2 linked regions of the Caenorhabditis elegans genome follow. The protein of the gene in region 2 binds, or shares a complex with, the protein of the main gene of each other region. Each region holds a gene or a part of one and is shown on either strand. Other genes may lie near its edges.

The links. Proteins that work in one complex are often made in the same cells at the same time.
Region 1: vps-54 (region 2) and vps-52 share a complex: the UniProt entries of both Caenorhabditis elegans proteins name them as parts of the golgi-associated retrograde protein (GARP) complex.

What each region holds. Positions count from the first base shown.
Region 1 is NC_003284.9:7,563,577-7,570,685, forward strand, and holds vps-52 (Vacuolar protein sorting-associated protein 52 homolog), read left to right. Parts: upstream 1-1,746; 5' UTR 1,747-1,754; coding exon 1,755-1,911; intron 1,912-1,953; coding exon 1,954-2,072; intron 2,073-2,134; coding exon 2,135-2,230; intron 2,231-2,272; coding exon 2,273-2,503; intron 2,504-2,557; coding exon 2,558-2,791; intron 2,792-2,841; coding exon 2,842-3,048; intron 3,049-3,098; coding exon 3,099-3,224; intron 3,225-3,333; coding exon 3,334-3,615; intron 3,616-3,663; coding exon 3,664-4,054; intron 4,055-4,101; coding exon 4,102-4,220; intron 4,221-4,272; coding exon 4,273-4,419; 3' UTR 4,420-4,569; downstream 4,570-7,109. Other genes in the region: sto-1 (Stomatin-1), read left to right, coding at 1-14, 66-140, 187-450, 524-642, 691-877; Apyrase apy-1, read right to left, coding at 4,692-4,805, 4,887-5,405, 5,480-5,594, 5,663-5,727, 5,844-5,987, 6,034-6,144; Zinc finger protein unc-98, read right to left, coding at 7,064-7,109. UniProt on the Caenorhabditis elegans protein: Acts as a component of the GARP complex that is involved in retrograde transport from early and late endosomes to the trans-Golgi network (TGN). The GARP complex facilitates tethering as well as SNARE complex assembly at the Golgi.
Region 2 is NC_003283.11:10,569,340-10,577,967, reverse strand, and holds the start of vps-54 (Vacuolar protein sorting-associated protein 54), read left to right. Parts: upstream 1-1,548; 5' UTR 1,549-1,561; coding exon 1,562-1,761; intron 1,762-2,283; coding exon 2,284-2,523; exon of another isoform or gene 2,524-2,747; coding exon of another isoform or gene 2,748-2,792; intron 2,793-2,869; coding exon of another isoform or gene 2,870-3,034; intron 3,035-3,234; exon of another isoform or gene 3,235-3,244; coding exon of another isoform or gene 3,245-3,262; intron 3,263-3,336; coding exon of another isoform or gene 3,337-3,679; intron 3,680-3,725; coding exon of another isoform or gene 3,726-3,979; intron 3,980-4,032; coding exon of another isoform or gene 4,033-4,770; intron 4,771-4,858; coding exon of another isoform or gene 4,859-5,047; exon of another isoform or gene 5,048-5,054; intron 5,055-6,613; coding exon 6,614-6,794; intron 6,795-6,844; coding exon 6,845-6,949; intron 6,950-7,951; exon of another isoform or gene 7,952-8,088; intron 8,089-8,628. Other genes in the region: mics-1 (PDZ domain-containing protein), read left to right, coding at 1-114, 165-442, 488-616, 906-1,005; del-6 (Amiloride-sensitive sodium channel), read right to left, coding at 2,748-2,792, 2,870-3,034, 3,337-3,679, 3,726-3,979, 4,033-4,770, 4,859-5,047. UniProt on the Caenorhabditis elegans protein: Acts as a component of the GARP complex that is involved in retrograde transport from early and late endosomes to the trans-Golgi network (TGN). The GARP complex facilitates tethering as well as SNARE complex assembly at the Golgi.

The sequences.
Region 1 (7,109 bases), on a different chromosome or scaffold from region 2:
TCCCTTCACAAGAGGTATGTTGCGCAACACACCTGCTCACTGTGATATAATCTTTCTCTCTTCAGATTCTGTCTCGCGATTCGGTTACCGTTTCTGTTGACGCAGTTGTCTACTTCAAGGTGTTTGACCCAATCACTTCGGTAAACTAAACAGCTGGTACGGTTCAATCTAATTTGGAATTTTTAGGTCGTCGGAGTTGGCAATGCGACCGACTCTACCAAACTTTTGGCTCAAACCACCCTCCGTACAATTCTCGGTACCCATACCCTTTCAGAAATTCTATCCGACCGTGAGAAAATCTCCGCCGACATGAAAATCTCGCTCGATGAAGCTACAGAGCCATGGGGAATCAAGGTTGAACGTGTCGAGCTTCGCGATGTCCGTCTTCCATCTCAAATGCAACGTGCTATGGCTGCTGAAGCCGAGGCTACTCGTGATGCTGGAGCAAAGGTGAGCCGACATGATGAGCATAGCAAAATGCGGGGGACCAATAATTATTAATTTCGATTGCAATTAATTTCAGATTATCGCTGCCGAAGGAGAATTAAGAGCATCTGCCGCTCTTGCTGAAGCCGCCACCATCATTTCAAAAAGCGAGGGAGCCATGCAGCTTCGATATCTGCACACACTCAATGCTATCAGGTAATGGAAGCGCACTATCAACTTTTAACTAACAAAATAAAATTTCAGTTCCGAGAAAACCAGCACAATCATCTTCCCGTTCCCAATGGAGATTCTCGGAGGAATCAGCAAGGTTGGTTCAGGAGGCACATCTCAGAACTTTCCAGTTCAAGAAATGATGAATGCCGCCCTTCAATCCATTCAACGTCAGGATACAGTTCCAGCCACCGCATCTTCCTCAGGAAGCCGACTCTGATTCCAAGCAACGCAAAATGAGCTACAGTTTCGTCAAAAAACAAAACAAGGATCAACTCGAAGCATATTGATAATCTCTTTCCTGTTTGAAGTATTTTTTTTTAACTATTAAACTGTATTATTCAACTGTATAACACTTAATATTTATACTCGATTTCCACCTCATTCACTTCCAAATTGCACATATCGGTTGTCAAGGCATATCTTTGAGAGGTTGTCTGAAAGACTTCCGATTTTGCTCCAAATTTTTTCAGTCATTTTTCTCATCATAATAATAATATATATATGATTCTCCACGTTCCATTGTATTTTTCAAGTGTATTTTTCCAAGAAAATGAAGGAAGCCATATAGTTTAGAAATTTGTCTAATTTTTTGTAAAACGGGAAATATTTGAATCGAAGGATTCAAAAAGTTTTGAGAAATTTTTTATTTCGAGCCTAATGCGCTGAAAACTAGGTTTTCACCAATTATTATGAAAGTCTTTGATCAGAAAAATTCATATTTTCACTTATTTTTTCACTAAACAAAAATCCAAATTTCAATATTGTTGGGGTTTGAAGATTTAATAGTGTTTTAGATTTCTCGTAGCGAATTGTCAAAAATATACCAAATAGATAAATTAAATTCTCTATAAAAATTCAAAAATCCACACATTCTCATTTTTCCAATTGTTCTGCATAACCTCCTTGGCGAGCATTTTCCTCGCCTTCCTCGCACACAAGCACACCATTATTCTAAACACCGCGCGGGGTGTAAAAAGCGGAGCATCGTTTAACGACGTGTTACCAATTGTTTTTTCTTTGGTTTATCGCTATTTTTTATTTATTAACGTTAGTTATTCATCAAAATTTTTATTGAAACAATTTCAGCACAAATAATGCCTCGAACACGTGTCAACTTGCAAAAATCCGAGGCAAATGACCGTAGTTTCACAATATCGTCGCTAGAATTTTGTTTATCGCAATTGCGAAAAGCAGATCCGAATTTGGTGAAAAAAGCAATTGCTTCTGGTGACGGACTAACCGAGTCGAAAAGTATGTCTCTAAATGTCAACATTTGAAAAATCAATAATTCAGACGACGTCAGCACGCGGCTATCGGAGGCACATCGTTATTCTGTTCAACAGTGTCTTGATAACTCTGAGCAGTTGGCTCAACTCCATAATCAACTTGTGCATTGTGATAATGTTTTTGAAGTAAGTATATTGTAAAAATTGCCAATATATAAATCAGTCGACTATTTAATTAAACTTTTTAGCGCTTGCAAGCAACATTGTACAGTTTTCAAGACAATCTAGGATCAATTGGGCAGGATATGAAAAATTTGCAGCTACAGTCGCATCATATTCATCAAGTAAATTAATTTTCCAATTTCAACGTACTATAATCTTCTCAGGAACTGGAAAACCGGCAAAAAGTTAGAGTCGAGCTGAGCCAATTTGTAGACGATATTGCTGTTTCTCAAACGATGATGAAAACTATCAACGACACTGATGCAAATGACAGGGGTTTTTTGGAAGCGCTCCACGAGTTACACCACAAAATAACCTTAATTTTGCAAAGGGGAAATGGAGATGCGGTAGCGGTAAACGACACTATGCCGATTTTGGAAGGACTAAAGCTTAAGGTTGGGTGTTTTTTTTTTTACAAAAGTTTACATTTCAAAAATGTTTTTTTTCAGGCGGTTGTAAAAGTGAGGGAATGGTTGCTTCAGAAAATGTTCCAATTCCGTAAACCTCTGTCCAACTACCAAGTTTTTCAACACCAGCTTCTCAAATGCCGATTTTTCTACGAATTCCTGTTGCACCATGACTTGATCTCTGCCAAGGAACTTCAAGACGAGTACATTGACACCATCAGCAAGATGTTCTTCACGTATTTCAAAGCATACGCCACACGCCTGTTCAAACTTGCGGTAGGTTGAGACACATTTTTCAAGTATATTCACCAGAGTAATTATTTAAGATGAAAGACGTGGCCACCAAAGAAGACGCTTTGGGAAGTATTGATTTTGCAAAACCCGCTGGATTAGGCGCAATTTTCTCGTCGAAACAACACGTTGTTCGGAATAAGGCAACCGTTTTTTCGATTGGGCAACGACATCAAATTCTCTCTGACGACTTTTTAGGAGCCTTGATTGTTCCCCACGCAGCTACGCAGAACCATCAATCGGTATACCTTACAATAGAACTGGTAGGGACCAAATTAAATTATATTTTCAGTATCAATTTGAAGCACTATTTCGTTCTATTCAACTGGCATTTGTCGATCACTACAGCCATGAGTACCTCTTTATTACCGACTTTTTCCTTGTCAGCAATGATGAAGCCATTGAACTGCATAACAAGGTATGTTACGAGGACCTGGAAAGACCTAATATCTATTACGTAGTAATGTTACATTTACAATAGTTGTTTGCCTTTTCACTACCGGAAAAAAGCTTATAATTGCTTTCAGGCTATGGCTCGAGCAATGTCAGTTGTGCTCAAAAGCTGCGAGGAGCAAATCGCCCTTAGTTGGGACGCCATCAGTCTTCATCTGTGCATTTGTCTATGTGACAAGTTTACCGAAGTGCTCGCCGAGAGAGAGGTACCAGAAGTTAGCGATTATTGGAATACTGTCACAAGCTTCCTTTGGACCCGCCTCAATTTGGTCATGTCTCAACACTACGAAAGTGTCAAATCTGTTGATTTGAAGAAGTTGATGCATAGCGGTTCACTTGATGCAAGACCGCATTTCGTAAGTTTTTGATTGTTTTTTATAATCAAAAAAATTCAGATGTTACAGATAGTCCGACGGTACGCCGAACTGACAAGTGCACATTTGATGATAGCAAAAGCAAGTGGAAAGGAAATGGGTGCAAAGATGGAAGCTGTCTTGGAGAACAGTGAAGACTCTATTGAACAACTATTGACTCGAATGTCAGCTATGCAGCAAACTCAGAAAAATAAGCACGTCTTTCTGATTAACAATTACGATCTTATTCTTTCGATTATCGATAACGAGGAAAGCAAGCATACAAAGATTTATGCAATTGTCCATGAGCTTGAACAAAAAAGTATTGATGATTTTGTTGAAGAGATGCTAGAGCCACATATTGGGTACATGATTAAATTTGTCAACGAGTGTGAATCTCTGATTGTTCAAGGTCATACACAACTCTTAGTTCGATATAATGGCAAGTTGTCATATATAATTTTCTATTCTCTAATATTTTAATTTCAGACAAAGTTGGAACGGTGGTAGCAAACTTCAATGCAAAGTGGAGACCTGCAGTGGACAGTATTAATTCAGAATGCATACAACTTTTCACTAACTTCAGCCTGGGAACCACCATTTTACAGGTTAAAATTTATTTCCTAGAGCCGAATTTCAGTTTTAACTAGATGATTTCAGACAATCTTCACAAAGTACGTTCAGTATATCAATAGATTCACAAAGATTCTGTCCCATGACGTATTTGCTAAAAATCCCGTGTGTTCCCAGTTAGTCAACGTTCATCAAGTGATGCTCGAAATCAAACGGTTCAAACCAGCATATTAAGAAAAATATTGCCAATGTTATTTTATTTTCCCGTGTAGACTTTGTAAATTAAATAATTTATTGATTCCCACTTACTTGAGTATTTTTTTATATATATTTTTACCCACTGGCAGCTTTATGCATGCAAAAAATGTTGAATAAAATGTTTATATATTTATTTTATTTAAATAACCATTACATAGTATTTGACAAAAATCACATAATATCGAGAACACAGATTTGGACCTGACTGGAAGGTGGGAATTGAGACAAAAATACATTAATTGAAGTGATTAGGCAAATGCAATTCCTTCGTATTTGTATGGACCATGAAGAAGATATTCGTCAAGAATAACATTACCATGAATGTCGAAAACACTTGCATAACTTGCTACTGGTTTTCCATCCTGGAATACAATTTTATAAACCGAGCATTGAGATTAACGGATTTTGTTTTTAAAATTGTGTAGATAAAACCTGTTACTTACCTTTTCCTCCGACTTGATGGCAACGATGAGCTGGTGATGAGTGTTTGGCACAAATTGGAAAGCAGCAAACCCTCTGGATTTGTTATTCTCCGATCCTACTCGCACAACCTCAAAATCAGTCAACTCTTCATTTCCAATCACAAGAACGTTTGTTCCGCGGTTCTCGTCCTCCGCCTCAGAATACTTCTCATTTGACATTCTACGTGGAAGGAAGAACCATTTTCTGTGAATTGCAGACCATTGAACAGCTTCGTGAATCATGTATCCGGGATATTCGATCCCAGCAGCTCTACGAACGCGGATATATACATCCTTCCAGTTTTCGTGATGAACGGCTCCGTGAGCAGAGACATGCTTCACCCACATTGGGTGATCGTTCACATAAACTCCGTCAGTGGTCGTCCATTCTTTTCCCAATCCTCCAACAATCAATTCGGTATCCTTAACAGTGATCCATTCTCCTTTAAATCCCTTCACGACGTTTCCTGGCCCATCGTTCAGTAATACCCAGGGAAGTGCCTTCAAAACAATATTATATTTTTTAAAAATCAATCCACTACACAAATATCATTGTTTAACCACTCATCACTCACCTTCTTGTCACTAATTTGATAAATAAGACCTGTTCTATCGTCAATTGAGTACAGTTTACCATTGAAGACGGCAAGGTCAGACAACTCCATAGCGCGTCCACCGGCGGCAATATTTCTAAAATGATGATTTTAGTAATGAAGTCAAAACAAAAAAATCTATAAAAACACATTTTGTAAACTTACGTGTCAACATAGTACTCCGAGTCTTTGTCAAAATGAATATCGGCATGCTTGTGGTCTGCAGAAACCTGAAATATAAATTTGAAAATTTCCTATAGCGATTCGAAAAAAGCAAGTTGCATTTTATAAAAATCATATTGGTCAAGCTGAGCATAATGCATTAGTTTCTTGCCGTCCTTCTCACCTTCAAAAATCCACGAGAGACCAAACTTTTCCACTTCTTCCCGTCTTTGCTGTCATGATCCAAATCGGTGATCAACATTATTGAGTATTCTTTTGCTCCATCATCAAACTTCTTTACCGAATACAAGTTAGCATGGTTGATGTGCTGTAAATGGATATGTGCGCAATCAGCTGAAAATGTAAAGAGTTACCTCTTCCTGTTCGCTAGATTTGTTGAATTGGGTACCCGAATAAAAGGCAATAGCGGTCACAAACCCGAAAAGAAGGAAGTTGAAAAAGTTTGAGTTACTTTCTTGTGTCATACCTAAAAATTATTTTTGTGAGTCTTAATTATAAGCATTAATTGAAAGTAAGAGATTTGAGAAAATATAAGTAGAATAAAAAAATAAAAAATGGTGTAGTTTTCCGAGAGTACTTCACGGCCGCGTGGCCTAGTTTTTTCAATGGGGACTCGATATTAATAACGAACACAAGTGCGTGTCCCAAATTGCATTTGCTTTATTGAGTGAGATATCGTGGCTGTGAAGTGGCAAAATATTTCGAGAACCGTTAATTAAACAATTTTATACATTTTTAAATAATGAATTCAAAATGATGCAAAATAAATTTAAAAAAACGTACAACTTCTAGAACAACGAACAATTGAGCTGTCTCGCTATCATCATCTTATCATTTTTGCTATCAAAAAATCGGTTGTGGGTTGTCGTAACACATCACAGAAGAAAGATTGATTGTGAGAGAGCCGGACAACATTTGTGCTAGCGGTCAATGTCTTTCCCGCTTAACATGGTCCCAATTGTACGATTGACCAGGAATCGATATTTCAGGGAAAGAAGAAAATACCAACAAGACATGACGAGAACAGTATTTATAGAGTGTGTCTGAGTGCGTTGGAAACACACGATTTTTGTGCTTTGTAGTCAATTGTAGTTTATGTTGAACACAAAACGAGTTTCTGCTGCTGACCGTCTTTATAACGAGCGTCTTAAAAATGTGAGGAAAAGACAAAATGACAAGAAATGAGAAAACGATAACACTAAAGAAAAACGTTGATTTAGTTGAAAGAAAGAAATATGAGTTATATGAAAGAACCATATCGAATATACATTTTGAAGGACAAATATTGTTAAAGCTAGCCGATGTTGAAATATATATATATTTTACAAGATCTGGATAGATTTAAATACTAAATTAGAAAAATTTTAAATACTCAGGGGTTGCTCAGAATCGCGGAGTCACGTATCCGCTTGTTCTTGGGAATAAATAG
Region 2 (8,628 bases):
GTTGGTGGAACAGACAATCCTCACTTTGTTGGAGATATCGGAATATACGTCTCATCAGTTAATAGCGAGTCAAAATCATATGGAGTCGTAAGAACAGGCGATAAAATTTTGTCGGTTAGTTTCCGATTAAAGTAATTATTAATTTAAATTGTTCCAATGTTTAGTTTGACGGTATCGATATGACCTACAAGACACACGATGAAGCTGTGGAAGTATTTCGAAGTGTTAAAATCGGTCATGTGGCTAAAATGTTGATTGATCGAGAATACTTACATCTTCAAGAAGATCGAACACAAACTCCAACTGCTTCTGTTTCAATTACTCCTCAAGTCACTCCACAGACTCGTAGTACTCAGAATAATACAGACACACCAAAGTCGATGTCGCATTCGGAATCAAAAAGCCGTTTGACGTCTCATGGACTTTCGGCTGTTATAGAAAGGTAAATTTTAAAATTTTTCTGAATTTATTTCTTATTGATTTTCAGAATTCGTGGAAAAGTTTACGAAGAAGAAGATGCTCAAAGTGTTACTTCCTATGCTCCTTCCACTCATTCCATCATTGACGATGTACCGAGAACACCACGTAAACCACTTAGTCTTTTGGATCCGAGAAAGTAAGTTTTATTAATCGGAAATTAAAAAATTCGCGATTTTTATTATTAAAATCTGACTGGACAGAAAAAAAAAATTAAATATTATTATTTGGTAAATAAATTTTTTTGGTGAAATTTTGGTAAATAAATTTGTCGAGAAATGACGAGAAATTCACTTGCATCATCCCATAAGCCTAAAAATTGAAATTGTATTGAAATAAACATTTACGTGTGAATTTAAATTAAAATATTGAGTAAAAAACATTTTGGGGGGGCAGAAATCGGAAAAGTACCAAATGATAACTTTCAGCAATTCTTGGCTAACCGAAGCTTTGTATGTTTCAATCGGTCTTGGAGCATTGACTATCTCTGGATACCTTGCCTACAGATTCATCAGAGGACGCCGTTGATCTTTTTCTCCCCATTTTCTGAATTAAATACTTGTAATATTAATTGTATTACCTCTCTCTCTCTCTGCTTTCTTCTCTTTTTTCTCGGTTTGTTCAATATTCAATTCAATTTTCTCTGTTATTCATCTGTTTCACTTCGTGACAATTTTTGGTGCTAAGTATAATGCGTATTATTGCGATGTAGAATAGGAAAAAAGTAAAATTCATAGATAACAATCCCACAGGTATAAAATAGAACTCCCAGCTTCTCGGTCAAAAAAGTTAATATTCAAATGTTCTTTACATTTTATCGACGTTTTAGTGCGAGTGGTGGGAATATTTTAGCCTTTTTTCTCTCTGAATCTTTCTCATTCTTCTCGCTCCATTATTTCGCACTAAGTGCTGCTCAAGTACCATTTCTATTCCGATTCTCTTTTTTTGTGAGCCATAATAATGAATATTGAACGTTTGTAATTTTATTTTTCTCCGATTTCAACACTGTCTCTTGCAGATTATTATATTTACTATCAAAATTTTTAGTTTTTTACTAATTCTTATTTCCAGAAATGATTCACAAATGAAATCAATGGATGACCGAACAGTAGGTCTTATATCTGCAAGTTCATCAAGAGCTTCACTCAAAATTCAACCGGAGATTGGTTATCCAAGAATATGTGATTATTGTCAGCCAATTATCGAGCTTATGACGGCTTCCGAGTTTGCACGACATATTCGACAAGATCATACGACAAAAGAAGGTGGTAGCTTTCTTTGTAGGTATGTTTTAAAAAATTTTGAAAAATAAAAATTCTAAATATAATTTTAAATCACAGTCAAGGGTGTCATCGAACATTTTTCGTTAACTATATTTTTTCAAGAGAATCGAAAAATCGAAAAAATAAATTTTTTCGATTTTCTGGAAAATAAAAAAAAACCATAAAATTACTTTTTTAAAAATCACATTTTGTTTATATTGATGAAAAAAAGAAACAATTGTGTTTTTTTTATTTAAAATTAAAAATCGAAAATGAAAAAAAAGTATTTTTGCTCAAGAAACTCAAAATCGAAACATATAAAATAAAAACTTTCAGAAAACTAACCATAAAATTCAATTTTTTAAATTTAAATTTGAAAAATAAACAAATTTCTTCTAAAAATAAGAAAAAAAACCAAAATTTGAAAAATTGAAAACCGAAATTTTTCGATTGTTCAAAAATCAATAACAAGATTTTTTGTTAATTTTGAAGAACGGTTTTATATTTTCTGCAATTTATCGTTTGAAATATTCTAATTATTTAGATACGGAGAACATGGAGTATGTCAGAAACTACCACTGGAAGGAGTATGTGATCTTGATTTTGAAGCCCACATTCGTCGTTGTCACACTTCTTCTCAACCAGCTGGATATTCAAGTCCAACATCTTCATTGGTAGCAAGTTATACTGAAGATAGTGAAGAAACAGCTAGTTTGAGAAGTATACGATTGACAAGTGATCGAGATACTCCAACAATTGAAAAGAAAAAATTCACTCTTCACAGGTGAGTTCGTTTTATTTCGTTTTCGAATATATTTCAAGAGAGAGAATCATGTAGATCACAGGAATAGGTTATTATTGGGAATGGGGGAACAAAAGGAAAAAAAAAGTGAGGGAAAAAGAGAAAAAGAAGATGATTAACAACCTGAGAGGAACAACTAATTTAAAATTATGAAATTAAGAACCAGTAATTGAAGTTTGATCGATCTAACAATATAGTCAACGTTTTTAAGCTCGTGGATTAGAACTGTATCCTTGTGCATTGCCTCCATCCTGAAAAATTATCAAATTTAAGATAATTTTAGTATAGTAAAATAGAGGTGAAAAGTGACTCATGTGACAGTGCTTGCCTTATCAAGAGATGCTTGACGTGAATTTGGCTTAGAGCCCATCTTCTTCGGTTGTTCCGGTGATCCGGCTGGGAAAAATTCGGCGAACGGATTCTCTGCCAATGACATCTTCTTTCTCTCAGTTCCGTTGTCAATTGTGAAGTCACCATCCTCGTCTCCCTCGTCCTGTGCATTTATTAGAGTGGAAACGTGTTTGAAAAGTTTTTTGAAGTGGAAAAGATTTGTGTAGGAAAAGTGTTCAAAAATAAGAAAGTAATGTGTTCTCGTGAATTTCAATGCACAGATGCAGTGTCTTTCGAGTGAATGAAAATAATTGAAAGAAATGAGAAGAATAAATCTCATAATTATTGAAAATACAAACTCACTATTTTTGCATTATTTCTTATTAACAGTCTAAAATGGGTTTCATTTAATATATAATAGTTCACTAAATATTTAGTTCCATATCAATCATTTCATTGACCTACCTTTTTATCAAAAGTATTTCCCTTCTTGAGAATTCTCTCATTAACAATCTTCTTTGTGAAGTAGGTGTAAGAATATGTTACGAGTTGGATAAGTGACAAAATCGAAAGTCCAAGCCACATTCCAATGGATCCTCCCAATGCAGCGATAAACGAGGTGGCACTATATTTCCATTGTTGTTCCATAGTCAGATATTCGAATGGACCCCAGGAAAGTTCAACAAGTGTTAAATCAGGACGAAGCATACGTCCTTTTACAGAGTGATCAACCTCGAATCTAATTTGACGGCAATCGGGGAAACATTTGTTGGCGCATTCTGTGTCAGAGTAGTTACCCTTTTGAACACTGAAAAATGGTACTTGAAATCTGAAAATATGTGTCTGGAACTTACTCGACAGTACATTGTGTATAGTCACACAATGGGAAGATTTCCATGTCTTCTTTTTTCGCTAGGTAACTTAATGAAAGTGGAGTACAATGACAAGCATCACGGATCATCTCCATACGGCAACGAGATCGGCAATTGAACTCACTGTCTTCTCCGTCTTCTACATCACGGCATCTTGTACCTTGTTCGTCATTTTCTAACATTTGATAGAGTGCAGTGACATGAGCTGTTACCTCGTGACGCTGTCCCAAACAAACCTGAATAATTGCTTTTGCATACACCGAACCATTATTTTTGTTTCTGGTTTTACCTCATCAACGTATCCATCTCTAGATCTACCCTTTCCTTCCATGAATCTGTTCAATGATGATGGTCTTCCATGGAAATCTACGGACATACAGTCAATTTTTTGACCTTCAGTATTCTCAGCGTTATGAGAAAGAAGCATGTCAAAGAACACTCCCTGGTCGTCAATAGTCTTAAAATTGTCTTGATCGAATTCTGGCTGGAAGCAGATTTGCATCTGGGAAATCCAAGAAATGCGAAGTTTCGTTTTGATCACAGTTTCATCATCATCAAACGTGCGTCTTCTGAATCTTTGCATTGAACGGCGAAGAACTTCAATTCCAGTCTTTTGAGTGAACTCATCGAATGTGATTCCACGAGAGTCGAGAATATCTCTCCATTTCTTGAACGTTTTTCTCTTTGCCGCAAGTCTTGGAGCGTTTTTAAACACGTGAATGGAACGTGCTGATCCATGAGCAGTTGTCTCTCTTTCCAAACTACTATATGTAGCAATCATGTCGTATGCTTCCATTACAAGTCGATAATCCCATGGAGTCTTCATAAATGCGTCGTGATCAGTCATATTTGCAAGATTTTCATCAACAACTGCATCCCACTCATCCGCGGGCGCAGTAAGATTCAATTTGAAATGGGACCAGGCTTGTTGTCGAGACATGCAGAAAGTAACATTTGGCATTGTCATTGATTCATTGAAAACGATGTTGATGTCCGATTCTTTTGGATAGTCAAAGTATTCCTCGAACTGTAAATTCGTCGTTTGAAATTAGGAACTACAATTTTAATTGAACAGAAGGGAAATACTAATGTGATAATGAGAGGTAATTACTTACCAGGTCGAATACATCTTTGACGGTGAGAACAGCCAGAAAAGCGACAATAAATACGAAGGCATACTTTCTAGCACGTCTTCCGAACAGCGCATCCTTCCATGAATGTGGTTTATCATCTTCTGGATGAGCTTGATTTTTTGGTATATCATGCATCTCGACGGACGTCTGATCCTTTACCTTGGCACCCATTCTGAAATGTAGAATTAAGAATGGAAGATGTAATTGAAAGAGCAGGATGTTTTTGAAAATTGACTATATAAATCTTCACATCTAACTAATTTGACACAAGTGTTTACTGAAAAATTGTGGCTGAAAAATGAATAGCCAGACAACCTGAAACATGACTTTCAACTGATGAGATGAAGTCAAGAGAAGGCGAAAAACGGGCGGGAATGACGCTCAGAACAGTAATTCGAATTATTGGTTTTGAGAGCGTTGGGAAAGATGGAAAAACGATGAAAATCGTTGGAGTAGGAGGGTCAAAGTTAGGTGATGGTCACGCCTTCTTCTTCATCTTAGTTTCTGTTTTCTACAGGCTATTCATTGGAACAAAATATCAAGACCAAGGAGTTGTAACCAGTGTTAACGTACTGTAAAAACACGCGTCAAAACCAGGAACTTTGAGAAACTAATATTTTGAAATAACTGATTGTAACATCAAGACGAACGGTATCCGATGGGACAAGAACCTGATTTTGGACAAACGGAAAGCAGTGGAATGTGAAAAAGAGAGACCTGATATCAACTAAAACCGGCATTATTTGGACGACGGTGTGTACCTGAATAGGGAAAAATGGTGATTTTAGGTCTTGAGGGATACCAAATGTTTTCCCTTCAATGAATTCCGAACTACAATTTTTTAAAAATCACGGGACGCGGAACTGATTTAACTACGTTAACTTTCAAACAAAACACAGAATTGGACGTTTAAATATATAAACATTTCTAGAGAATTATTGAATATCTATTACATTATCGTAATTCTAATAGACACGGTGCATAACCGAAAAGAAGATTGCGACATTTTTTTAAACTATAAAGTTATGTCTTGTGATAACAATCACCACACCTTTCGGATCGGATTGTGTCAAAATTGGAAAATTCTGTCCTCTACTATGTCCTCTAACTGTTTCTTAGTAGTTGCCATTTTCAAATTTTTCACTTCAAGTTTTTTGTGTAATCAATTGAAATTTGGAAATTCTGACACAGAATCTGAAGAATTGTTTCAACTTTTCAAGTTCTTCAGGTCATTTGATTTGATTAAAAAATGACTGAATGAGGTGAAACCTCTTTTTAATTTCATCTTTCCTCCCCCTACAAACATCTCTATCCCTATCTCTCTCTCTTTTTTCCAAAAACAGTGATTTTCAATTGACCAGTGGCAATTTAGACGTTGTCGCCGCAAAATCACTCGTTATCAGGCGAAGTAAGAAATTATAGTGATGGACCGGGACAGTCTTCAGGTAAAAAACGGAGAGAAAAAGAATTGGATGACCTTTGGTTTGAATTTGATATCAAAGGCGCAGAAATTGATGGTAGGCAAACGGGACACTCCATCCACTTAGAAATGGGCAAAATAGAACAGTGAAGCGAACGAGAATTTGATGAAAATAGGGAAAGGAAGAAATAACCTATAGATTTAGCGTAAACATGGGCAGAAAGTTAATTTATATTGAGACTTTGATGTGGAAACTAGGATAATTACAGTATTTCTTAAGTTGAAACAATTGACACTTCCAATATCTAAATTTTCAGTTTCACTCAAAATCTGTCAGCAGTTCTTGCCGATCCATCACGATCTCGAAGTGACCTAACAACGTTCTTCACACGCCATTGGGGTGACAGTTTTGTTCCAACACAACCGGTACCACAATCTAAAAGACTCGCTCGGCTCGCTGATTCGGCTTTCGATAGTTATTGTCAATCTGCTGGAGAGGTGATAAGATCTTTTATTTATTTATTTTTTTTATTTTTAAATATTTACAGTCCTATCGTCGATATCAGGCAATCAAAAGAGCTCTACGTTTGAGTCACGCCGATGGAGGAGTTGGAATTGGAGATGAAAGACAAGATGCGGAAGATCTGCCTACGGTATGTAGAAAAACGAATACTACCAAAAAAAATCTTCCTTTAAATGGAATTTATCTTAAACATGGATTACGGTCAGTAAGGAAATGAATGAAAACCATTCCTTTGATGCTAAAATGGCCAAATATCAGAATAAAACGTTTCAAAAATTTTTGACAATTATTTCAGTGAGTTTGTGCAACTTTTAAAAAAATCTAACGCACATTCGTATATTCGAACCCTTAAAATGTTGGAATAAGAATATTTTAAACCTGATTAGAACATAAAACTGGAAGCAAAAAAGTTTTTGATCGATGACTTCCATCCAAGTGGTAAAAAATGAATTTTCACCGCTTTTTGACTCAAAATAAAAAAAAAATCAAATTTTTTGCAAAGCTAATAATCATGATATTTGGCCGTTTTGGCACAATTGGAATAGTTTTTAACCATTTCTCTACCATCTAAACTCAACCTTTAAAAATTCAAATAACACAAAAATTCTAAAATAGAACTAAAAAAAATTGAATCAGTATTTAAAAATAAACGAACCTCTTAAATCTTCTTCTCCGTTGTTCTTCTTGATATGCTTTCTCATCTTCATAGATTGTATGACCAAGTGCCATAATCATGATTACCTACTTATTAGTTGTTGTAATTGACTTTAGCAAAATTGTTGGTCTCGAATTAATTGTTTGGTGTCACTTTTGTTAAAATTTCCACTTTCTTCTCGCATAATTGAAAATGTGGAAACAGGGAATGAAAATATAAGTAGCAAAGAATTTTGTTGTTAATTAATACTTGACATTCAGTAATTGAAAATTGAACCAAAAAACGTTAATTTTGATCAAACGCTTTAGAGATACTGATCGAATAGTGTTTAGGACAGAGCTGGGTAGTCGCAGTTGTTTCTGTTATACTTTTTCTTTTTTTTGCAATCACTTTACGACGGAGCGAACGAACAGCCGAAAGATAGATGAGACGAAGAGATAGAGAAGAATCGGCTCAGTGAGATATCTATTATCTGAATCACTTCTAGATTTCGTGTTTTCCTCCTGTGATCAAGTGTAGGTACTGATTGACAAATTGACATCTTGTTGGCACAAGTGGACACATCTGGTTGACCAACGGAAATGTAGGAAGATGCGAAACAAGTTTCTATATCAAACATACTAATGTAAGATTGGGAATGGATACTTGATAATTTTTCCAGAAATTGTTATGGCTGAATGATCAGTAAGCAGGAATAACTGGGAAAACTATTTCTGTTTTTAAAAATGTATTTTTACTTACTAGAAATATTTCCATTTATCTAGGAACACATTTTTCAAACAGTTAAAAAAACTTAGTTTGCTTTAGAGATCACATTTTTAATTTTTAGTTTTCAAAACGTCTGTCTTTGTATAACTTTATCCTATACAATCACCAGTAAGTATCTACTTCCTAGCCAATGCCCATTATTCCCACAATTCATTGAAAAAGTACGAAATCTGAGATAGACGTATTCTATTCGGTCAGCTGTTCTTTTACTATTATCAGCTAGTTTGTTTGATGTTTGTGATCTTTTCCGTCCCGTTTTTTTTCATAGAGTGAGGGTGGAAAGAGACAGCTGTCGGCTCTTTTTAAACGACGACTCAAAGCTCATTGAGCTCATGGAACGGCCGGAGCGCCAAGTGATCATGAAATTTCGAAAATTTTATTGTGGC